2 linked regions of the Oreochromis niloticus genome follow. Each later gene encodes a partner of the first gene's protein in a complex. Links are inferred from orthologs where the notes say so. Each region holds a gene or a part of one and is shown on either strand. Other genes may lie near its edges. The genes, in order: unc80 and unc79.

Region 1 (12,477 bases):
ATAGATCCTCCCTCTCCTGCATTACCATGTGACCGCTGCTCAAACCCTTTGGTGTGAGGATGTGTGAGGATATAATTGGCTCGGGGGTGTTTTTAGGAGGCGGGGGGGGGGGTTGGTTGGTTTCCGGGCTTGTTTTGATTTTCAGTCAGCTGCCGGCTGTCAGAAGGATTGCGAAAAAGCGTCAGAGTGACATGCTTGGTTATCAGAATGAGCTGCGATGAGCAGCGGATGGCTTAGGATGGAAACAAACCTGCCAGCGAGGAACTTCTTTGCTGGTCAGATTTGGTGTAATTGTAAACTTTTTATTTTTTATTTTTTGCCCTGCCTTTGCCAAAGAGAGCTTGAGAGAGACTGAGCTTTGGCCTGGCAGTGGGCACACCAAATCAAGCCAGGCCAGGGACTCTGCCAGCATTAGACATGTAGCACATTACTTCAGCGTAATTACCCTGGTTATGTGGGCAAAATGTCACATGGGTTTGCTGATGCACAAGCAGGAAAAGAGCTGTGGTTGTGTGTGAGAGAGGAGACAGTACTGCTTGAAGCAACATATTACACAGGGGGGAAGAGGATCTATTCATGTACCCTAGCTCATCACAAGCTAGCGGAGTGAGGCGTGTGGTGCAGTGGGTTTGACAGACGCTGCCGCCGGGCTCGGTGTTTAGCCATCAACAAGACGATGGCACCAGCTCTGTGTCAGTGCGGGTCACGTCTGCACTGCTTCAACCCTCAACTGGTTAAAGCGTGGAAAAATTAGTCATTTCCGAGAGATTTTATGAAAGCAGCGCCTCCAATATCGATCGTTTATAAATCAAAAATAATGCTTGTGTGATTTCCTCTGTGGGTCTCTATTAATACATTTATTCATTCGTTTGGTAAGTTAAAATTGATGCTTCAACATGTCTCACTGCTTCTTGAGGGGAAACTGAATAACACATGCTCACTTTTTCTTGGAAGGGCCTTTGACCAGTGGGGGTTGCTGTTGGGAAGGGCCACCTTTCTCCACTGAGTTACCACGACGACAGCTCTGCTCCCCGGCTGAGGGGGAGGAGGAATCTGATTGGGTGGCTTCGCAAACCACCTGGAAGCCCTATGGGTAGGAAGAGAGAGAGAGAGATGGATATCAGGAAGACAGACAGGCAGACAGTTCCTGATAATTAAAGGCTCTGAGGTTGGAGTGTGGTTTCTGTCATGACCCCGGCTCACCGTGCTAATGAATATTAACAGCCAGCCCCAGGGGGAACATTGGAAAAGGGGAGGGGAAGAAGCCTCAGACTCTTGCCCAAGCACATTCAATCAACATGGGAAGCAGAATCTGACAAGATATGGGCTGAAAACGTTAGCTCACCATGGGACCCGGGTTGCCTGATCCACAGGGGCTGCACTGGTTGTTGACTGGGGAGTTCCTCTTTGCTGTTTAGACAAGCATAACAGTATACATGTGTTAATTGTGAGCAAATAAAAATAGATTATCTCTCAACGCACTAATTCCCAACCAGGGGTACAAGTACCCCAGAGGGTTCTTCTGCAGTAGGCAGCAGACACCTGGAATAATTCGTTTCACTATTTATAGAACTGAGTGGTCCTATGGCTAAAAATGTTAGCTAACGTTATGGATTGTGTTTGTTACACACCAAAAATAGGACAGTGTGGTTGCCTGGTGATTGCATTGAAGGTTTTTGCCTTTCCATTGCAATTATTGCCGCCTAATTTATAAATGCAGATGGATTGCAAACACAATATAATCAATCTAAGTCAGTCTGCGCCAATGACCGTAACTCGTCTGTGATACGTCTCTATTTGTTTTTTGTAAAGATTTTTTGGGGCGGCATTGTTACATTACTTTGATAGTAGAGCAGTAAATCTGTGAGGTTCCTCCTGGATAGTAAATGAAATTCGTTAGTGTGAATTTCTGTGTATGTAGATTGCAAAGGATTTGCAATTTTTACAGATTTATCACAGTTAATCACAAACAAAATGCATGTAACTACCAAGCTTAACCCCGTCAATCACAAACTGACAGCAGATTGACTCCATCTTATTGTGATTGAAATGCTGGATAACCAAATAGTCAAAACTGTTAGCTAACTTGGTGTATCAGCAGTTGAAATAGCAAAAAGGTACGAATCACCAAATTGCCAAAACTGTTAGCTAACTGTTTAGATTAGCAGTGGAAATATAAAAGTATACATAACTAAAGAGATGAAATTGTTAGGTGACTGTGCAAATAACACTGTTAGCCTAATATAACAGATAAAAAAGCTGTATTACAGCAGCTAGCTAAAGCTATGAAATGAACACCAGTGATTTAGCTGCTATGTTGCTGGAAGAAAACTGTTAGCTAACTTTGTGTATTAACAGTTTTAAATAAAAAAATAAAATAAACATTTAAATAGTTTAAATTTGCCAACTACAAAAATATAACACCAGCAAACGTAATTATATATATTAAATAGCTGTTAAATAGAGTATTAGCTAAGGGCAGTAGATAAAAGGTTGAAATTATAAGCTTATTTATGGTTAACTAACTATAATTGAGACATGGTAAACTAAAAGTATCCCAGATTTAGGTTAAAATTAGTTCAGCTGAACATAATAAACATGAAAGATGTTAAGGAGGAATATCTGACACAGCTGCATGGGTTATATATTAGGAATACGGTTAAGAACCACTTTCTTTAAAAGCTTTACAGAGGTTTATTATATATAAGCCCTTAAAAATAGCGGCGATTTCTCAAAGATAGTAGGAATTTCTTTAAAAACTGGGAATTTTTTCACCTGTAACAATGTTTCTGACAGGTTTGATGAGGGCAGTAAAGGCAGGGATGTCAGGCAGGCGGTGCTCCCACATTGGCTGCCATATTACCAGACCACTAGCCAGTCTGAAGGTCAGGTCTGACTCCTGGAAAAAGGCAACATATTTACACATTTTTTTCCTCAAAAAACAGCCTGTAAACACCAGAAACAATAATTCTGTCTTGGTTAAATGTTTTGTGTTGTTAAGATTCTTAAACCTCTGTTACAACATGCTAACAAGACAAGACAGTAATTCACTGCACAGCTGGGAAACAGTGCACTCCCATGAGTAATATAAGCTGACCCTTTCATCTGTTTGCACACACAGATCAATAGGCACAGGGTGATGCTGACTGCAAGTACTAAATTAAGCAACACAGGGGTTGCTGAAATTAATTTAATCACAAAATTATCAAAATTATAAATAGTCTAATGCCACAGATTAACACAACAATGCCTGTGTCATCCTGGCTCTCTGTTACAAAAATCAATTTCAAGGCCGTACATATTTGCATCAGCAGTTACGCACCTTTATCCGATGAACAAGCGGTGCAAACAGGAACACAAACAACTCTACTGTTGCCATGCTCTTTTGGAATAGCTTGGTGCGAGTATGCTCATCCTCCTCCAGCAGGGAGCCGCTGTGCTGTTGTCCTAACCCGCCCAGGCCCGAGCCAGAGCAGGAGCTAGGAGCTCCCGGGGAGGAACCCTGGTTCCCCACAGGCTGGAGGAAGGCGCTACTGCTGCTGCCCCTGGACCAGCCGTGGCTCAGGCTGGGCTCGTGGTTGCACTCCTGTGGGGCCTCCAGCAGCATCCAGTGCAGGGTGTGGAGCAGCTTGGTCTCCGCCACACCCAACTTGTCCTGGTGACCTGTGATGTAACCGAAAGACAAATACTAAACACGCAGACACTTTTTTTAAATCTGCTTAAACATGACTGGCCTGCAACAAGTCACCTGCAAGTGGACTCCAGAGAGAAACCAGAAAGCTTCCACTTCCAAAAATTCTTGCATGCCTACAAAACTGGTCATATTTGATGGTGACCTCTAATTTCCTGCTTCTAAATTCAAACTGAAGTTATTGTCCTCAACCCTAATAATCTTAGAAATATGATATCTAACCAGATGCTTACTCCAGATGGCACTATTTAGGCCTCCAGTAACACAGTGAGGAATCTTCGAGTCCTTTTTGACCAGGATACGTCCTGAACTTCACATATTAAACAAATATGTTGGATTGCTTTCTTCTATTTGTGCAATTTCTCTATAATTAGAAATGCCCTTTCTCAGAGTGACACTAAAAAACTAGTTAATGCATTTCATTACTTCTAGGCTGGAATACAGTAATTCCTTAATATCAAGCTAAAAACTCTCTGAAAAGCCTTCAGTTGATCCAAAATACTGCAGCAAGAGCACTGACAGAGACTTAGCCAGTGCTTTGGTCAAAGGTGGAGTGACAGGAGAACCAATCTAGCATGTTCTTGCATGAAACCTGAGCTCCCAAAGGGGAAACCCTCAAGGACAACAAGCAGCACAACAGGAGGGATCTGACCTGGATTGAATGAAGGACCCTCGTACTGTGTGGCAACAGTGATTTTCACTTGAAGGCGTTTAACAGCTTAGTTCAAAGCCTGCCACCTCCTACTTAAAGAAAGTGTCAAATCCAGCTCAATAATAATGCAAACAGTGGCTCATTCATGTCTGACACATGGAAGGATTTGATGCTTTTCTCTATCTCGTGTTGTGTGCAGGCTGTTTTAATCTCATAAATATTAATTCTATCATTTGCCTTTCTGTCCATTTAAGCGATGATCTCTGAAAGAAGCTGAAAGGAGCATCAGATTTGTGTTTTGGCGATTGGGTATGACCTGGATGAAGCTGTCAGCTCGATTGGACTAAAGCGTCCTCACCAAGCTTGTTCCTGTTAGACAGCAGGATGGAGGTGCAGTGGAGTACGTGAGGCAGCGCCGCCTGGACGAGCTCCCAGCGGGAGATGCTCTGGATGGCCTCTGACAGGGCCGGCGACAGCCCGTGGAGCTTGTTCTCCACCAGCACTCGCTCAAAGGACTGGGGAGGCAGCCAAAGGAGAGAGAAAAAAGAGGAGAAGAGAGACATCAGGCGGGCAACTTAAGCCTCTTTCTTTGACTATCTAAATGTCCCACATGGCCCCGAGCGAGCAAAAGCCTGTGGGAGAGACAGTGGAAGCTCTGTTTGGATCCAAAGGGATCTGGAGAAGCGTCATTATGGATATGAGTCTAGCTCGAGGGTAATGGGAGGAAGCACGGGGGCAAAACTAATTTGCTAAATGCAAAATCAAGAGCTCACTTGATTTGCAGGTGCATTAAGGTAAAAACAGATTACTGGGAAGGGAAGCGATTATTTCCCCTCATCGTGCACATGGTATTATGAAATGACTTACCACACAGGATGCCTCATACTGTTTTCCCAACTTTGGCCGCAGAAAAGCACTGAAAGACATCAACAGAGTGCTTGTGAGAGATTAAAAAAGGACAAATGTAGGTTATAGGCTAGTAAATTACCCCATTTTGTCTATGTGGCCCACTTTTTGTGCAAATTTTACAGGTGTGACATCATACAATCTGCACCCACAGCCCCATCTTCCTCCATTTAACACAAATCAGTGAGCAGACACTCACTGGGTTTCTCAATCACTTCATCAAATAATGTTGACGTGTGAGGCGGTGACAAACCCCCGTCAGCCCTGCCTTGTTTTCACCAACGGCAAACACCTGTTATCAATGTCACTAACCTGGTCTGCCTCCACAGGAAGGTCTGGATCGGGAACGGTATTCCCTTCCCGCACTCCGGTTCGTTTTCATCCAGGCTTTTCCTCTTCACCATTTTGGCCGAACCCTGCGTGGCCGCCTGCCTGTGTGCGATCACCGGGACGCGCGGCTGCTGGCTCTGCCCAGGTGACCAGCGAGCTTTTCCCTCCCTCTTCACGACATGATTGGGTTAGTCCTGCGTAAAATGGCTGCAAGTGTCGATCGGTCGGTCGGCGGCAAAGGAGAGATAGAGATAGAGAGAGAGAGGAGGAGGAGGAGAGAGGAAGAAGGAGCGCTCCGAAATCAGCACCTCCCTCCCTGGACAGCGACAGCTGATCGGAGAGCTAATTTATCAGCAGCGGCAGCAGCAGCGGGGCTTTAAAGACGCAGTGTGCAGCTGGGCCAGATGTTCTCCCCCTCTGCCTTTTCTTCCTCCTCTGCTTCCCCGCAATCAACACATGGAGCGACCTAAACCGCTGCATCCGCGTGGTGCATCCACACGCGCCATAATCCACCCCTTTAAATATCAACAGGTTGTTTAATAATAGCCCAAGCTGTGAGTCATAAAAACACAGCAAAATCAAATCAGGTGTCACTTCCCGAAACATTCGCACTGTTTAAAGAGGCCATGCCGCGCAATAATATCCTCATCAGGCCAAATAATGTCTGCATTATTGGACAGGTGACGAACATGGATCTAACTTGTTGACGAAATCCAGAACAATGCACCGTGGTTTTTAACATGGCAGTGCTGTTTGTATACGGTGTTTCCGTGTAAAAGAAGAAAAAGAAAGACCAGAACTGTTCTTAGGAGATGGACAGTCACAGCATCTGAACAGTGCCTCACGCTGCAAACACTAAAACCATGAACATTGAATCCCAGCAGGGTTGGTCTGAACATGCATGAAACTTTACAAAAGACAGAAAAGGATCAGTTAAAGGAACATTAACAATGTAGGGAAGAAAAACTTTAGGTTACTTGCGTAACCCCAGTTCTTTAGCAAAGTGAGATGTCTTACTACGGGATGAGCCTCCCTGCACATTTCTCAGAAGCATTTATCTAATTGACCACCAGCCAATCCCGATTGGTTGGTGGTCAGGAACAGCCATCCACGTTTAAATAAATTGCGCTATTACATACCCGTTATTCAAGATAAGCACCTCTTCTCGCTTAGCAACAACAAAACGGGCTGTCTGGGTCATGCTACTCTGAAAACCGGAGTTTAGTCACCATCTAGGCATTGAAGTCTATAATTTGCAGGAAAAAGACACTGATTTAGTCCTGGTTTTGTTCAATGGGCTTAACAAAAATATATATTTTTAACTGTTCAGGAATCACAGCCATTTTTATATTAAGTCCTCAGGTGACTGCCTTGGCCATTAAAAAATATCTCTATCTTTGCATGGAGAAACTCTTGGGTTGCTCTAACAGGATGCTTTAGGTCAGTCAGTTGTGCAGCATTCGGCTAATCTGAGCAGAGAATAGTCCCACACACTTCATAATTCATCCTGCTCCTTCTATCAGCAGAGACATCACCAGTAAACACCAGTGATTTAGTTCCACTGGCAGCCATACATACCCATATGACCTCCACCATGTTTGATGGATGATGTGATATTCTTCAGATCATGGGTTGGTTCTTTCCTTCTTCAAAATTTCATCTGTCTCAAGAATTTGTTTGCATAACTTTTTGGCTTGTTTACATGTTTTTTTGCAATCTGGCCATCTTATTCATGTGTGAGACCAGTGGTGTGCATGCTGTTGAAGGCATCTCTTGGTCTCTCTCTTGAGAAATGTTGTGAAGCTCATTTTATTTATTTTAACATCCACTTTATTGTCTTCGTGTGCTAGAACATTCCTTCCTCTAAAGAAGAAGCTGATTTGTCCACTCCTACATTTTTTGCTATATATCTGATAGTTCTTTTCAGCTCTAATGATGGCCTCTGTCACATGCGCTGACATTTCTTTGACCCTAATATTTAAGTAAGAAGCTGTGAAATTGGATTGGAATCAACTTCAGATATTTTATCTGCTTCATTTGTCATGGAAGAAGGGAACAGGCCTAATCTGGCCATCAAACTGCCTGTCAGTCAATTGTCTAATTGATTTAGAGCTTCTGAAAATGGGATAGTATACAGAAATGACTGTAATTCTTAACAGTTTTGTTAACCCTCTTGAATTAAAAGCTGCAGTGGTGTATAGAACCAAGTCTGCAAAAATTGTGTTTGTCCAACTATAACTTTCATTAGAACCCGAGAAAAGAAATGCTTCTCTAGTAAGCTAAAGAAATCTGTCGTCGCGCCTCATTGAGCATAAACTAAAATATGTTAATGTTTAAAATTACAGAAAAAAAATCATGTAATAATAATAAAACTGAAAGTTTTTATTAATTCACAAAAAATATCTGTTTTTAAAACACTGTTTTGCCAGACTAACAAACTCATTAAGTGTGTAGTAATGAAAAAAGGGAAAGGTTGCTGTTATTTAATTGTTTATCTATCACTTAATTACTTTGTTGTTCTTTGGTATAGTATGAATGACTGTAGAGGCGTTTAAACAGCAGAAAAAGCTGTAAAATCTGTGAAAATACAGTCAAAAGTCCAAAATTTAACCTCTCCTTCACATTTTCCAAAGCTGTCCACAGGGCTGATGTTTGTTGGGTCGATTCTGGCCCCCATGCCTTATGTTTTACCCTCCATATCAACTTCATGCAGAACTATAGAAAATTATAACAGGTTTTAAATCGTTTGTCTGTCAAATATACAAACTTCAAATGACTACAGTAATGCCAGCAATGCCTCCTGTTTAATGAATAATGATGACATTTTTATTTAACCTTCAAAACGCGTGCTGATGATAACCAAACAGGCACGCCAAACATGCAGGTTGACGCGTTTTTCACAAAAAGATGAGAATTTTCAAAGAATTGATCCACAAGACTAGAATGAACCAGTTTTTTATTTCTTTTATTTCTTTATTTTTGTTGTTGCCATCATCCTGTAGGAGCATTTTGTCATCAGTACGTCTCAAACACCGGAAAGTGTGCACACATCTACAATTTTTTTAAATCTTTTTTTTTAAATACACTTACACAGGCAAAGAGGGGAGGGAGGGATATAGGAAGCACAGAAAAACACTGGAAGGGTAGGTGACATCAGGAGGGGAGGTGGGTGGGGGGCGGAGGAGTCTCATAATGGTGAGCAGAGAATATGCTAGAACATTTTTTTTATTCTTTTTTCAAAAAAAAAAAAAAAACTTCTAAAAGCTGCAGTTTTGTGGGGTATTATTCCCATTCTTCACGTTTTTCATCTCCGCAAACGTTCAAAAACTTCTTTCAAATGGAATGTTTTCATATAAAGCTTCACACTTAACACTTTTTAAAACAAACTTCGGGGCTTTCACCCACTCAAATACACTACACAACCCAGTCTTTGCAAAAGGAGCAAGGTCACAGGGGCCCGTATGCTAGAATGCACCCGGGCCATTTTACACTCACACAGAAAAGTCGAAGATCGCTCCAAATAGATCTAATTTATTTATCATTTATTTGCCATGCCAGCATAACAGCATTGTTGTAGCCTAATAAAAACCACAGCGCTAATGTAAAACCAGAAAATAAAAAGAAGAGAGGGGGGAAGGGGCGGCGCAGCCCGACGGCTGACGAGAGAAGAAAATAAAACACAAAAATCTATTGGAAAGCTAGCCTTTTAGCGCCCGACTCGACAGAGCTGCAATGGTTATCCACATTTAAATGCTAATAAGCCAGAGCAGCCACAGGGAACGTACAAAACTGTAAATACTTCCAACTACAGTGACATATATTTTTTTATATATTTATATATAAAAAGAAAACAAGAGAACACAAGTTTGTCCAACAATTCAGCACAATTCAGGAAATCCAACAAACGCAACAAAGAAAAGTTCATGTCACACGTTTTTTTTTTGTTTGTTCTTTTTGCAGACATGCTCATCAGCCATTCTTTTGCAGGTCAGTTAAGTCTCTCGCTTATCTTTAAGACTAGCACCTACTCTCTAGTAGCTATATCTTGCATTCAGTACCGTATAAATTCTGAATGGATGTCACGCAGGGGTCCAACTTGAAGTTTTTAGCCCCGTGCGAGTGGGAATGTGTCGGTGCTTTTCAACGCACCAAAGAAAAAGAAGAACAAATAAACAGAAAAAGGACCAAAGAAAAATACTGTACAATCGTAAAACCACCTTCTTGAACCACTTGAACCTTGGCATTCAGCTTATCTAAAACAGAACAGTCCACGTTTGAGTGAATGAGAGGATAAAAAGCAGACCGACAGACGGGGGAGTGTCGTTGAAGATTTATGAAGAATTCAGTTTTTTAAAATCCCGCTTGGAAGGGACGGAGGGATCGTTGATTGGACGAGACGGTCAACCAGCTACAACTGTGGGGGTTACGTTAAACACTGGAAGCTTGTGATGGGAAAGATGGGAAAAGGAGGAGGGGTGATGGTGTGGATTTGTATTTTTCCTAAGCAGAGGCAGCTGGCTCATAAGCCCTGCTTGGCCAGGGCAGCGGTGACATCCTGGGCCAGCGTGGAGAGCTGGGGGGACTCCAGGAGGTTGATGCTGCCGGCGGAGGACAGGCGAGGAGAGGTGCCTCCCGTCTCGATGCCGGGGGAGTGGGTGACGATGATTTCCGCACCGTGGTCCACCCGAGCTTTGGCCGAATCCCGGAAATTCAGCTTGTGGCTCTCGATCTGGTGAGCAGGGGAAGATGGTTTAGGTCAACGCTCTTTTTCCTCTTTAACGTGAACTGACAGTGACATTTGGTATAAAAAGAGGCTTCCTTTTACCATGATGTTCCCGCCTCCGGGAGTGTGGCTGGCGTTCTCCAGAGAGCCGACCTTGGCGTGGGCCTTCTCTTTGAAGTCCAGCTTCACATTCTCGATACGCACATGTCCTCCCCCTGGGAACAGGACAGCAAGGAGGAGAAGAGAAGTGTTAAACCCACGAGGAATCGCTCGCCTGCAGGACACCACTTCTCCTAGGCAATGCTCAGGGCAAAAAAAAAATCTCAGTCTGCACACTGCACAGCCTGAAAAAGGCACAAGTGCCAGCTTTGACCTGCTTTATACAGTTTATATAGTACCATATAAGACCGGATGCAATATTCAATTTCTTGCTTTGACACTTTCTTGTAAAAATCATTGAAATGGTGACATCATGGGGGCAAAACTGAAGCTGTAAGCGGACAGATGACAGACAAAATTAGGAAATATCAATCAGATTATTGGTACGATGAAAGGAAATACATATGTTTTTACTAAATCACAGCTAATTTGACAAGAACAGACTTTCGCTCAAAGACTGGTGTTACTGGGCCTTGTTTTTTTTTTTAAAAATATGACAAACAGTTTGACATCTTTATGTTGGTCTGCGTGGAATTTCTGACTCCTTTTGTGCAACCCACAGCCACTGAACTATGTGTTGCACTGTAAGTTAAAGACAAGCATGTAATATAAAATGAGTGAAGAGCGTTAATGATAACCTATTATAAAATGGATGGTGACCAACAGTAACTCCAATTGCTAAAAGAGTAAAATTTAAATGGTAAAAGAGGTTTGGGGTCATTTAGAAACCGTCATAGTTTGTCCAGCAGAGCAGCTCTGACTCCATCCGGGCTGCCTGCAGCACATGTAGCAGAGCAGCAGCACAGCTGATAGTTGTGTGGAATCAAGCAGCGTCTTCACATTAAGTTCCTAATAGGATTGGGCAACATGATAAAACCTTCCAACCACCTTCAGTCAGCCCAGAAACTGGCTATTTGTGGAGGAGTATGTGTGCTGCACAAACATTTGTAGCGTTTCAGTGGAAAAACTACCAAAACAGAAGAAACACTAACGCTGGTGCTTTGTTCTACACGAGTTGTCAATGTCTAAGACACTCATCAAATTTAGTTATGGAGTACTTTGCTGGTTGCCCTTTTTTAAAAATGTTACAGCATTGTTTGGGATTTTAGTCTGTTGCTTGGTGCCTGTTAGGCAACATAAAGACATTAGTATATACCATGCATAATCCAACTCCTGTGGATATAAATGAGAGCGTACAGTCCTGAAATTAAAACTATACAATGCATTTATAAGGAGTTTTAGTTGCATACTACAAATGGGCCATTTTAGCTTGCTGGTCGGTGGTTGCTAGGCAGTGTAATGATGTGCTATAGATAAGAACAATCAGGGACTGGGTTTGTTTGCTCAGCTGGAGGGTTCATGGATTACAGTGGATGTACATAAAGAGAATTGGTACATATATCAATACTGGAAGGTTTTAATGATCCATATCAACATTTAACATAAAATACAGCATTTGTTACACTCTAAATGGCACAAAAATCATTTATATCCATAAGGACAAATCAAAATCAGCTAATAGCAACTAGTCTTAGCATTCCTTTAAGAAGAGAGCCTTAAATACTTTGTACAAGTAGGATGCCTTCCTTTTTTTCATATATCATATATACTAGTTAAATGCATGCTGGAGTATTGTTTGGTCTGCGATTTTAGTGTGTTGTTAGATAGTTGCTAAGCAGCATTTAGACATCATAAGTTATCATGCATAATTCAACTGCTGTGGATATAAATGAGATGTTTTTGCCACTAAATTAAAATGATACGAAGCTTTTATAAGGAGTCATAGGTGCATAAACGCTGCAAATGGGCCATTTTAACTCTTTGGTAGGTGGTTGCTAGGCAACATGATGATGGTCATTGTCTGAGATATAGATAAGAACCATTGTGGGCCTAGGATTTTTTGCTCAGCTGGAGATTTCGTGGATTACAGTGAGATATACATAAAGATTATATATCACCACTTTTTTTAAAAGTTTATAGTATGAGTAACTTCTTTCAACGGTAATGACAACTAGT
Region 2 (11,911 bases), on another chromosome or scaffold:
GTCAGTGGCTACCATGCAAAAAAAAAAAAAGGCCAATGAGCCATAAGAGTATATTTTCCAAATGAAATTTCCTTGTCTTTAGTGGGGCTGTCAAGGATGGGAGTGACACCAAATTGGTTCGGGAAAATACAGAGGTGACACTTTTGAAACATGCTTCAGCCAGTAATAAACATGTGTGTGAGGTTAGATCAAGTGCTCTTAGGTCACAGCACATGTTTATTGCACCAGAGAAATAATGTCTGTATGCATACGTTATGATACTGTACCAGTATCATCAGGAGAAATAATGAGATCCAACAGGCATATGGATTCAGGTTTCTAAAATAAATGTAACAACTAATCTACAGTAGAGGAGAAACTATAATGACAAAGGAATAGGTTGTATCGGGGGAGATGACTGGTAGCATTATGTTTGTGAGCTAATGCAGGATGGACAATTGTGTTTGCTGTCCCCTGGGGAAAGGTGGTGGACATATTCAATTTTAAAAGAGGAGAAAAACAAAAAAACAAAAGCAAAAACTAGTCGGGTTGAGTGTGGAGCGTCTAGGGTGGAGGAGGGAGGAGGGGGAGGGCCAGAGAGCATTGCTCTTTTTTTTCTTTTTTTCTTTTCTTTTTTTACTGCACATTATTAAAGAGCTAAGCTGTTCTATCAGGCAAATGACTGGGATTTACCATGAGAGCCCAGATTATAAATGTTGATGTATTGCTTTTTTTTTTTTTTTTTGGCTTTTTTTTTTTTAAAGGTCACTCACAAAGTAGAGTTGCAGCATTTGGAGTTACATGGCAAGTGAGAAAGGGGATTTCTTTTTTTATCAGATTTTTAACATGGCATAAGAACAGTATAACGTACCATCATGTGACTGATCCCCTCAAAGTTATACTCTGTAGGATTTAAGTCAGCGTAGATTCATTAAACTATGTAATCAAAGCTGCGTTATTATACAGCATAAACTCAAACAGGACTTAAAGACAACGACAAGACTGTATCTCAGAGTATGACTTTTTCACTGCCCATATTTCATATAGAAAACATCATTAATTTGAACAATGAACATAGACATAAACATCGGACGCGCTCACACACACACACACACGCACGCACGCTGAACATATACACGCAAAGACACGCATATGTGCACGCATACACACAAAACGACACGAGAAAATTACAAACGACACATAAAACACATGTAGAAATGCACTGATACGGACACATGACATACATTTACTGTCAAACCCTGCACTGTCGTTGCAAAATCATGGACTATATGTGTGTATCAGTTACTCAAAGCACATGTTTCCTGCATTAACATGTTAACAGGTGTGTGAAGTGAAACAACTGTGCTGCATCTGAAATGATGGCTAAACAGTCTGTTGCAACGTCAGTGATGTTCACTGATACAGAGAGCTCACTGTGCCTCATCTTTAAGATATAAAACTTGCTGGTAAAGAGATAACGTAACCCTCTAGCTGACCTAAAATTGGTGCATGAATCAACAACCTCCTCCTTTGGCTATTTCTTTTCTGCGAAGATGACACATGCCTGCTCCACTTCTCAAGGCTCGCTACTCCCACTTTCCCACTCTCTCTCCCTTTTGATTTTTTTTCTTCTATTTCTTCGCCCCGGGCTTCAGAAGGCACAGATGTATGGATAATCCTGGAGTCCCCGCTGAGGAATCCAGACTCCTCTAATGGTGGGCAGAGTGATTTTGTTCTGCATATCTGAGGCTAAGAGACTGTGCTTCGGGAAAATATCAAAGAACCGTTAACAGTGGCATCATACTGAGTGACTCTTTTCTCGCTCGCATGATACTGCCCCGCAGAGGCACAATCGTCACTCGAGTTAATGCCCATTTCCAGAGTTGCCACCCCTGTCACGCTCAATCTGTGCCCTGAGAGGCTACATTTGAAACACCCCAGTGACTGGTTCAGGACAGCCCTTCAGCAAAGTATGGAGTATCCAGGATACTCTGTGAGCACCACGGCAGAGGAATAATCCTTATGGATGGCTGAGGAGTTGTGTAGAATTGAGGCCAGCTGCCAATCTCAAATAGATTGCACCCTAAGCTGATAATAATGATAGAAGTGAGGCACACAAGTTCAGCCTCCAGTAATCCCACCATTCTTTAATAAATTAGCTAATAAGAAAAGACAGTGCCTCTGTTCTCACTGAAGCTGGCGGGTAGTAATACTGCAACCACAAGAAATATCCTATCTCTGCAGAGCATGTCTGGAAAAATGAAGCCCCAACTGGACAGAGAGAAAAAAAAGAGGAAATAGTGCTCTATTAAATTAGACGTGTTCAAAATGGCTGCCTACTTGACCTATGCTGGAAGAGGAAATAACATGCTGTTCCCTTCACAGCACCCAAGAGAGCAGGCTGACCCTGCAACTGCATAGCCGGAGGAGCTGAACTCCAGGCCCTCTGGGAAGGACACAACAAACCGCCCCAGGAAAGCGTTCATCTAGCAACCGACCACTGAATCAATAAACATCACTGAGCCATCTATCTCTGCGGCTGCCTTAAAAAGACGACACCATAATTACACAGGAAATCTGCTACAGTCTGTATCTTTCAGAGCAGAAGAGGCGAGGCAACATCTGCCATGATGGCCACTTCCTTAACCTCTTGCTGACATTATAAATTAATATGAGACATTGAATTGTGTCACTGTCATGCCTTTGAGAAAGTGTGTCAGAGCGACCTGCTGTAATTAATCTCATCTGATTGTGAAGGAAGCTAATATCAAACATTCTACAATCTTTACTTCACCTGGTGGCTCCAGAGCAGGGTACTTACCTGAGCAGGGTTTGGGAAAAGTATTTCAGTGTGTTTGCAATGTCTGTTCCGGAGGGCACTGGGTAAATATTGTGTTGCACACGGTTGTGATACTCTTGCAAGTATCGTATCTTAGAGGCAACTGGACAAAATAAAGAGCAGAGCAACAAGCAAATCAACACTAGTGAGATATGATGCACGACAGCAAAGACATATATCATGTAACTGAACAAGTTGTTAGGTAGTATTTAACATGAATCCTTCAGCTATTAAGTTAAACAAAGAGTGTGTTTTCCCATGGTTCTCTGGCCTTCACCGGGCGACCTTTTTTGGTATAGCAGCAGGTCACAGGAAGCCCTAGAGGAGGCAGTAACCTACTGCTTACAGAAACAAGCTCACACACGAAAGGTTGCCAGTTCAAGTCCCAAGACAAGCTGGGAAAATGTGGTTATAGCGAACATGAAAGGGGGCTTAAGAAGCAACACAGAGGAACATTTCTGTAATGAGCCCAGCTGGCTGCTCTATATTGAAATAATCTCTGTAGGTTCAGATATGACTGTGCTGTTTGTTGTTAGGAGTTCAAATATGTTGAAGTGGGTGATCGCTGACCCATTTTCTGTGACTTTAGGCAGGAATGTTTAGCTTCCTTCCTGACCTGTAAATGACAAACCCCAAAATAAAAATAACAGCTGCAGGCTTGGAGGATTGTCTGGTCAAAGCATGTGCTGCGATAAATACTGAAGCACAGCATCTTTCCTGTTCATCATAAAATTAAACCTCCTCAGAAAAAAAGGACTAATTTTTTAATATTTTTCAAGCTTTTAATAATATTTCGAGCTGTTAGTCACAACAGCAGATTCAGCGTTTTCTGTTCATTCCCTCACTTACTGGCTACCAAACAACAGGAGCAACACCCAACTTTTAACCAGCTGATGGGGCTGGGAACCCCTAACACTGAGTTTGACCCCGTCTTTTAGCTATTGTTTAGCGGTAAAGAATCAGAAGACAGCGGCTGGTGTCCACCTGTTCACAAGCAGCGAAGTGGAAAGAACAACAGACGTCAATATAGTGTGATCAGACCCCACGATTGATCAATATAAAGCCACCATATTGTTCAGTAGCCTGTCAGGTCGACCTTGAGACCAGCATTACACTTCGCTTTTCCCACGCGCCTCAGCCAGCCACGTCAATCAAAATAAAATAAAATTTAAAAGAAATAAATAACACGGATCACAGAGCGATCCGGACATGGAATTGTTCCATCAACACGCAGAGAAACAGAGGGTGATTCAGTGGCTCTGTGTGTGCACTGAGACCTCCAGCCATCCTCTGCAGTGAGAGGACGTGTTGCAACCTGCCTTGGCAACCGCGGTTTCATCACCAAGGACAGCTCCCCTTGTTCGCTTTCTTGGTTAAACCAAAAAAAAAAAAATCAGTTTCCAGCCCCCTCACAAGACAAAACAGAAACACGCACGCACAGATACACACAGCCGTACTTACACTGCTCTGCCTTCGTAGACATTTCGCAGACACTTGGGGAAACATAAAACCCAGACTGTCAGTTGTTTTGATAGGTTTTTCCCTTCCCGGCGTTGTGTTTCCCTCAGTCGTGAAAAAGTGACTATGCCCCCTTGCAGCCCAGGCTCGTCTTGATTGTACCACTTTGCACGACGGATTTATACGCTGTGGTGTTTTAGCTGTGCTTCGGTCGCTTTCGCGATCTTTGAACGGAAATAAAGGGAGAGCTTGTTTTGTAAATCGTTTTTATATATTTTTTTGAGGTGGTGGTGGGGATTTTGCTCTCTCGTTGCAGAGATGGGTGGTGACATATATGTGACACACCATACCTTTCCAAATGGACTGATCCGGCTTTGACAAATTGTCATTCAAGAATTCCGACAACCCTATCAGCGCTGTTTGAGCTGATTATAGGAGGGAAATACTAAGCACCTCCGCTTATTTGCCTCCGTGATGCTTTACATGTGTGTATTTGTAATGCATGAAATGCTAAACATGCAACAGATGGTTGTCACACCTTCTTAAACATAATGTCCTTGAGAAAACATCGTGGGTTTTTTTTTCCAATTTTATATAAATACAGCTGATTGGCCACCGTGGATTGGCAGCGTGTCCTAATATTTTTATACTGATATTTAGTAATATTAATACTAATCTCCACTATCAGCTGGGCGCTTTAAAGAGTACATTGTTATCCAATAACACTTTCGAGCTATAAATGTGCATGTATATGAATATTTAAGCCTGTGTCTAAATGCAGCATTTCTCATTTAAGCGGCACTTCCGCTAGTAGATGCAGGACTGAACGATAAACAGACCGCAGGGTCTGAGGTCCTGACAGACCCTTCCCATCATGGTTTCTGCCAAGAAATTTGTATGTCTATACTCCTGACTGATGGAAATGATATCCTCAAAGTGTTTTAAAGCAAAAATTTTGTCTTTTTTTTAATATCACCCTCAAAACAGTCAATAATCTCAGAAATAAAATACACAATAGTTATCATTTGTAACTGTATAGGAAAATAGCTCAGTCAGACTTCAGATTTAACAAAGGTTTTACTTTTTTTCACGACATTTTACACAGTGGAGAGAGGTTCACACAGTGACATTGTTCGGGTGCCTGTCTGCAGAGTTCCTGTAGAAATCAGTCATGTTGAGGTATTCTGGCCTTGTCTTCGATATTCTGGGATATGATGCATGATCCAGCCAGCCGGGGCCAGGAGAGTCACAGCAAACACGCATAAGGCAAAGGTAGACTGCTGTAAGAAAGTCCAATAAAATATAACCATGAGTGTTTTATTCACAGACACTGCAAATGTAATCAACTGCATGAAAGGTTATAATACACATTCAATGCAGTGTTAGTGTTGGAGCTCTCAAATATCTTCTTTGATATGTTAAGTTGAACAGAGAAGACTAAGCACCCAATGAACACAACAGAGGGCCCCGCTCTTAGTGACTCACTGCATGATATAACTTCACCTCCACCACCCACTTATATTTTCCTGCCATGATATTCCCTCTGTACCTCTCCACCATGGTATTCCTAACCTGGGATGAGCTTTGTAAAAGCCCCTATGGATGTCCCTTAGGACAGATTAACAGATTTATAGTGGCATAAACACTTCCTGCTATGCTGCAGTTCCATCATAGGATCCCTTTACAGAGGCCAGAGCGTTGCACTGACTTATAAATAACAAATGAATAAAACATCTCTTCCACTCTGCAGACTGGGGAATGCAGTTCACTTGAATTCTTCGCATTAAGGGCATTTGAACCATCACAGACACTGACTTCCCACGACCGACTTTTTTATATTGTTTGCATTTTTATACCACCATAGTCCCTAAAATTGCATTACTTGTGGTTTAGCATCCATTCAGTTTAGGAAAAATATTACTACAGTCTTTGGTTTTGTTGCAGGACATTATACAGTGTAGATATTCAGGGATGTCTGCCTGTTTAAGTGCAATTACAAGTACAATAAAAGTTAGTCAGTCCTACCACTGGCCCAATCTTTTCCTTGGGTGGCTTGCTGTAGATGGTTGACCTCTGATTTTGCTTAATGTTCTTCAGCAGCAGCAACCTGGTTAGTGTGGGTCTCCTAAAAAGCACGGACATCCTTCTTGAGACAGCTCACAGTAAATCTCGTTCACAGAAGAAAAATGTGTCTCTGGAAACTTATCCTCACATCCTGTGAGATACTGACAGATAGCCTGTACTTTTATCTAATTCCCATCACTCTTCCTGGGAGGAGTTACTTCCATGGGCCAAAGACACTCGTGTAAACATACAGAATGAGTTCTCATCACAGCAAATTCGGCCTTGGTTGTGTGCCTGAAGATTAAAATGAACTGAAAGGGGGAAATATTGGTTACAAAACATTGATTTTAAGCCTGAATGAGCACACAAGGTGTCTTTTTTAATGCTGAACAGTCGCTAGTTAAGCACACAAAGTCCTAAATTAAGAACACAGCAATCAATTGTTGGCAATATACAACATTTTTTCTCTCTAGAAAGTACACAGGACACAGAGTGCTGAAGTAGTAATATGCATTTGATGGATTTTTGATAATCCATGTAATGAATATTGATTAATATTGATAATACAACAACAACATTCAATTTAATTCAAGTTTATATATATAGTACCAGCTCACCACAATAATCAGCTGAAGGTGTTCTATAACGTTCCTACAGTACTGGAGAAAACCTCAACAATCAAGCCACCCCCAATGAGCATGTACTTTGGAACCGTGGGAAGGCAAACCTCCCTGTTAACAGGAAGAAATCACCAGCAGAGCCAGACTCATGGAGGGGAAGCCATCTGCAGAAGCCAATTGAGGGTGAGGGGAAAGAGAAAACATAAAGTCCAGTAGTAGCCTGAGCCTATAGCAGGATAACTAAGTGAATGTTTAGGGTTTGTTGACCCAGCCCCAACCATATCCTTTATCAAAAAGCAAAGTGTTGAGTCTAGTCTTAAAAGTAGAGACAGTGTCTGTCTCCTGAATCCAAACGGGGAGCTGGTTCCACAGGAGAGGGGCAGCACAGTTGAAGGCTCTGCCTCCCATTCTCCTTTTAAAAACTCAAAGAACCACAAGTAAACTTGTAGTCTGAGAGTGATCTGTTGGGATAATATGATACTATGAGGTCTTAAAGATATGATGTGGCCTGATCACTGTGAGGAAAATAATTTTGTAAGGCAATTCTTGATTTAACAGTGGATTAACCAGAGGCTTTGTAGAGAATATTTAGCTATCAATAACTGTATTACTATCACTACACAACTTGTATGTTAATTCCATATATAGATAGAAATTTTGTCATTTCAAAAAAATATTATGGTATCACAACCAGAACCGCTTAACAAAAATCTTTAAAAGATAGTCTTCACAAATCAACACAAAGACAGGCCGATCTAGATGTCTGAGTAAATCTCTTGTATTTCTGTTCTGTTCCATTCTATTCTGTCCTTCTATTTAATAGACTGGAGGACAGACTGCCTGAATAAAACCAAAGACATGTATTGCTTAACTTTGTCATTTAGGGCTTTTCCTTTTGAATTTCTTAATCAGGGTAATTGCAGGGTAATTGTGGATTTATATCAACACGACAGGTCGATGTAAATAATAAAACAGTGTCCATTGTTTATGATTATTTTAAACCTATAGTGTACATACAAAAAGGTTTTGGCATTCACATTACATGTATTCTGTCGCCCTCAACAGGATGCAGTAAGAACTAGATCTAGCTGGGAAATAAGAACCAACTTTATCCCTGAAGTCTTTACTACTAGCATACCTGTTCACATAATAGTCGACACTGAATAAGACAAATATTCCAAATCGAACAGTGTTATGGGATCAATACGTGTATGTATTGCAAAGATGCATTGCAGCCGTTAGCTTTAACATAATAATCAAGGCGAAAATTGGTGGTGCAGCCTGCATCATAGTAACGTCATCTCATAGGTCTGCCTCTAAATGAAAGAGGGAAAGGTTAATAGACAAAACATGCACTGGGTTGCATTGTCTGGATCATTTTCTATAATATTATACTTAAAATTGCATACCGCTGTTCGTCACAGCTCCCGATTCTCCTGCAGAATTACTGACAATGTCATCAGTTATATAAAACGTAAAGGGAAGCTGAAAGTACTGTCTTGACCATATGATTGTGACACGTACGTAGCCCATTTCTGACTACTGCCACCAATTAAACGCTAGAGGGCGCTCGCAAACGGTATATTGCACAATCTGCCGTGAGTACTGACGGGCCTCTTGAACAGTCGGCATACAGCAATGAGAGTGTTAAGTTGACCTAAATTCAAAGAAAGATAGACTTTGCTTCCAAAATTAAGACGTTTCATAGCACGAGCAAAGCGTGCCTTTTAAATTTAACCGGTACTTATTCGATACCTGCAGAATTTGTGCAAAATTTGAATACCAAACGCGGGATGTGAAATGCTTTTTCATTGGGCTCGCAAGTTACTGCACAACGAAAATGCAAATCTCTCGCGTTTGGAGGTTTTATTTTGAAAAACATGACCGGAAGTGTCCTTCTTATTTTGGCTAACTTGAAACGGGTAGCGTTGGGATAGGCCATAACAACCACCCAACAAGGCGTTGTGCTACTAAGGGGAAATACCGAACCGAACCGAGATTTAAAACGGTCTGGGTTTAGTTTTTAGTCGAGGTAGATGCTGAAAAATCACCGGAAAGTCGATGCAAGTGGAAGCTATTGCACATTAGAGACCAAAGGTTGACGTCGAGCCGTGCGTAATGAGCAGAGTTGGGAAAAGAAGGTGTTGAGCTGCATTTTTTTTCTCTCTCCCTCTCCCTCTCTCTGCCTGAGACAAGTTGGATCGGAGTGCTGCCTAAACTACGAGGGGAAACGAAGAAAAAAAATAATGCCTGCGAAGCTCCTCACTTTCTGGTAAATATCTTTTAACGTTCGCTTTTCAACAGTTGTATCTCATCTTGCTCAAAGTAAATTTCCGAGGGCTGAAGTCAAAGCGACACCGCAGAGATAGCTTACCCTAGCCTCTTAGGATATGCTACTAATTACAGGGCTGTGGTGAATATGACTCCTGTAGCTGGGCTGTCGCCAAACAATTTGGACATTACTTCCCTTCTTTATTTATCAGCCGCGAAAAACAATCCGCTTTAATTTTATTTTTTTTCTTTGCTCTTAAAGGCACTTTTAACCAAGGCTTCCGCTGAGCAGCGGTAGCTCAGAGAGCAACAATAGCTCCGTGATAACGGCAGGCTAACAAAGCCTTTGCAAATAATTTGATTTATTTTCATACGGGCTGGAGAAGAGTGCTCATATTTGTTTTCGTTTTGCGTGTGGCTAGATTGGTAGAAAAGTTCAGGATAAGTGTGATTTTTGTGTCACTTTGGAGAAAAACCTACATGTTGCTGATTATTGCATCTGTGTGACACAGTAGTTGACAGACTGAGCTTTGGGGACAGCTTGAACCGCAATTGTAGCCGCTATGTAAAGATGAAGTGTGGCTAGGTCTTGTAATAATTTCCACAAGTCATACAATTAATACCATAACAGATTTAGATACCAATGACTTCTTTGAATTGTGTAGGTATCTGACATTAACCCATCCAATAGAAAATTAGTGTTGCTGTAGCGAGATTTTTTTTCTAACAACGTATGTGATGTTTGTTGGCATTAGCATCCGTGTAAGTGATGAGGAGCCATATGCAGTCTGCGATAATCCCATGGTAATCTCACAGAAATTGCGGGTGGACTCAGCAGTCAGTCCGTTAACTCCATCTTTTTCTAAAATGCAGCCTGTCTGTCTTTGCAGCTCCTCACTTGAATAAAGGTGCCTTCCCCGTGCGCTTTAGTGCTCATGTTTACCATTTCGCTGGGTTAAGTATTTGTGTCAGTGCTTCAGAGCTGTATAATGACATGTAATTATCAGAGTTGCATGCTCAGAAGTCCATGACTGGCATGAAAAGGCAGCGAGCTTGCAAATACTTGCCACTCAGTGATTGAATGAGCCACACTTTGCCCTGAATGCTGTTTACCCTGGCCAGTTGGATGGAGAACCCAACAATGAGCATTGACATCTCACTTAAAATAAGCACCCATTGTTTCCTGAGTTGCCATTCATTCTCTGAAGATCGACTACTGGGTTATGTTTGCACAGTCATTAAGTGTATGCCTACTTCACATGATGGTTCTGTTAGGTTTTCGATTGCAAGCGCACCTACAGGATGACATTCATCTGTCCAGTGTTTGTCGGTTAAGTTGCCATCATGTATTAAATCAAAGGTCTAAAAGAAAACAAATTAACTTTGAGGTAGCTGTGTTTGATATTTGCCATTTTGTTTCATGGCCTCAACGTAATCAGCTGACAGTGTACTCAGTGAAATGTCAAATATGCACCATTACGGTTCATATTGTTAGTTGACACAGGCTAATCCTGAGGCTGCTCACCATGAGTCATCATCGTGGGGACTTTTGTTTCCTCTCTCTGTTTCTGTCATTTCACTGTGTTGTCTGTTTTCTAGCTTGTTCCGATTTTTCCTTAGTTTCCCATGGCTCTCCTGCCAGAATCTGTAATCAGCTGAATGGCCTGACACAACATTATGCTGATTTACCTGATTGGCAAAAAACATTGCCGACATAAGCGGTCTGCTCTGCCTCTGAATTTGGACTCTCCGGTTATCGTTTCAGACAAAATATGACTATTATTTTAAGAGGGCGGACTTTATTTTGGTTTCCACCAACCTTCCGTGGTTGTTCCAGTCGGGTATCTTGCTGCAAGATGTGTGCAGACACATCAGTGCCATGGAGGTCACTCTGTGTTAGAGAGTTCTGGTTTCTGCTCACTGCTGCATTGCTTTTTTATGACCTTTCAGAGCACCCTTGATTGTATCAAGTATCAAAAGAGTCAGACAATCTGTAACTGAAAGCTGTATTTCTGTACAGCTTGGTAAGCAAAGGACGTAATGGGCAACTTACCCCAGAGGCCATTTAGCAGGTTTTGTGACAGCAAAACTTCTTTTCATCCCCCAAGGCCGGCATCTGTCATTTTTCTTGTTGTATGTGAATCAGAAAAATAAACTTCGTTTCTTCTGTGATTCCTATTGTGAAATGGATACACACATATATCAGCATTCGACTAATAAAAATACCTTTTGGAAACATCAAATTGAAGAGCTCTGTGTGTGAGAGCTTTAATGCATGACACTGCTGTGTAATTGCAGACAGGAAAGTGTTTGGGGAGAGTATTTCAGTGTTTCATTCAGGCCTGACTGTGGCACTGGCTCCTTTCCAGAAGATTAGGGCATTTAGCCACTGAACCAAACAAAGACGTCCATCAAAAAGCGGACATAGTTTTATTCACAAGATTCACAGTGGGACTAGTAGAGTACACAGCACGCAGGTTTCTTCAAGCTGTTTGAGCAAAGACGTGTGCACCTTTTTAGATTAGTAAGCTGTTATAAAATTACCGAAGAGGAATGAAATGGGAAATTCTCAATCATCTTCGACGCTGGCCGAGTAATTCTCCACATCACCTTTAATTTGGTGAAATCTTGTCAAGCCCATTCTAGCTTAATTACCGCTGCCACTTTGACTTCAAACGCC

The links.
Region 2: the proteins of unc80 (region 1) and unc79 are in contact, whole or in part, in a cryo-EM structure (PDB 7W7G), measured with the Mus musculus proteins. The link is inferred for Oreochromis niloticus from reciprocal best matches to the Homo sapiens genes UNC80 and UNC79. Residues at the interface, in NP_780719.2 of Mus musculus: Gln23, Thr24, Trp27, Ser31, Leu34, Arg35, Pro36, Ala80, Pro83, His84, His87, Ser94, Asn95, Asn180, Ala183, Leu187, Phe190, Leu191, Arg337, Leu340, Gln341, Pro342, His343, Arg1317, Asp1320, Glu1321, Asp1324, His1545, Val1546, Asp1547; in XP_030102533.1 of Mus musculus: Thr120, Tyr123, Ser127, Ala130, Thr131, Leu168, Ser169, Ser172, Met175, Ile176, Gln179, Tyr180, Tyr207, Tyr211, Gly212, Pro213, Ser214, Val390, Cys391, Glu394, Glu402, Phe405, Arg472, Cys541, Asp917, Phe920, Ser965, Glu966, Phe967, Ser968.

The regions. Positions count from the first base shown.
Region 1 is NC_031986.2:22,029,947-22,042,423, forward strand, and holds the start of unc80 (protein unc-80 homolog), read right to left. Parts: upstream 6,073-12,477; 5' UTR 5,654-6,072; coding exon 5,562-5,653; intron 5,260-5,561; coding exon 5,211-5,259; intron 4,859-5,210; coding exon 4,702-4,858; intron 4,645-4,701; exon of another isoform or gene 4,630-4,644; coding exon of another isoform or gene 4,581-4,629; intron 3,664-4,580; coding exon 3,323-3,663; intron 2,900-3,322; coding exon 2,776-2,899; intron 1,411-2,775; coding exon 1,346-1,410; intron 1,088-1,345; coding exon 942-1,087; intron 1-941. UniProt on the Homo sapiens protein: Auxiliary subunit of the NALCN sodium channel complex, a voltage-gated ion channel responsible for the resting Na(+) permeability that controls neuronal excitability.
Region 2 is NC_031983.2:11,498,881-11,510,791, forward strand, and holds the start of unc79 (protein unc-79 homolog), read right to left. Parts: upstream 4,519-11,911; 5' UTR 4,302-4,518; coding exon 4,280-4,301; intron 2,922-4,279; coding exon 2,801-2,921; intron 1-2,800. UniProt on the Homo sapiens protein: Auxiliary subunit of the NALCN sodium channel complex, a voltage-gated ion channel responsible for the resting Na(+) permeability that controls neuronal excitability.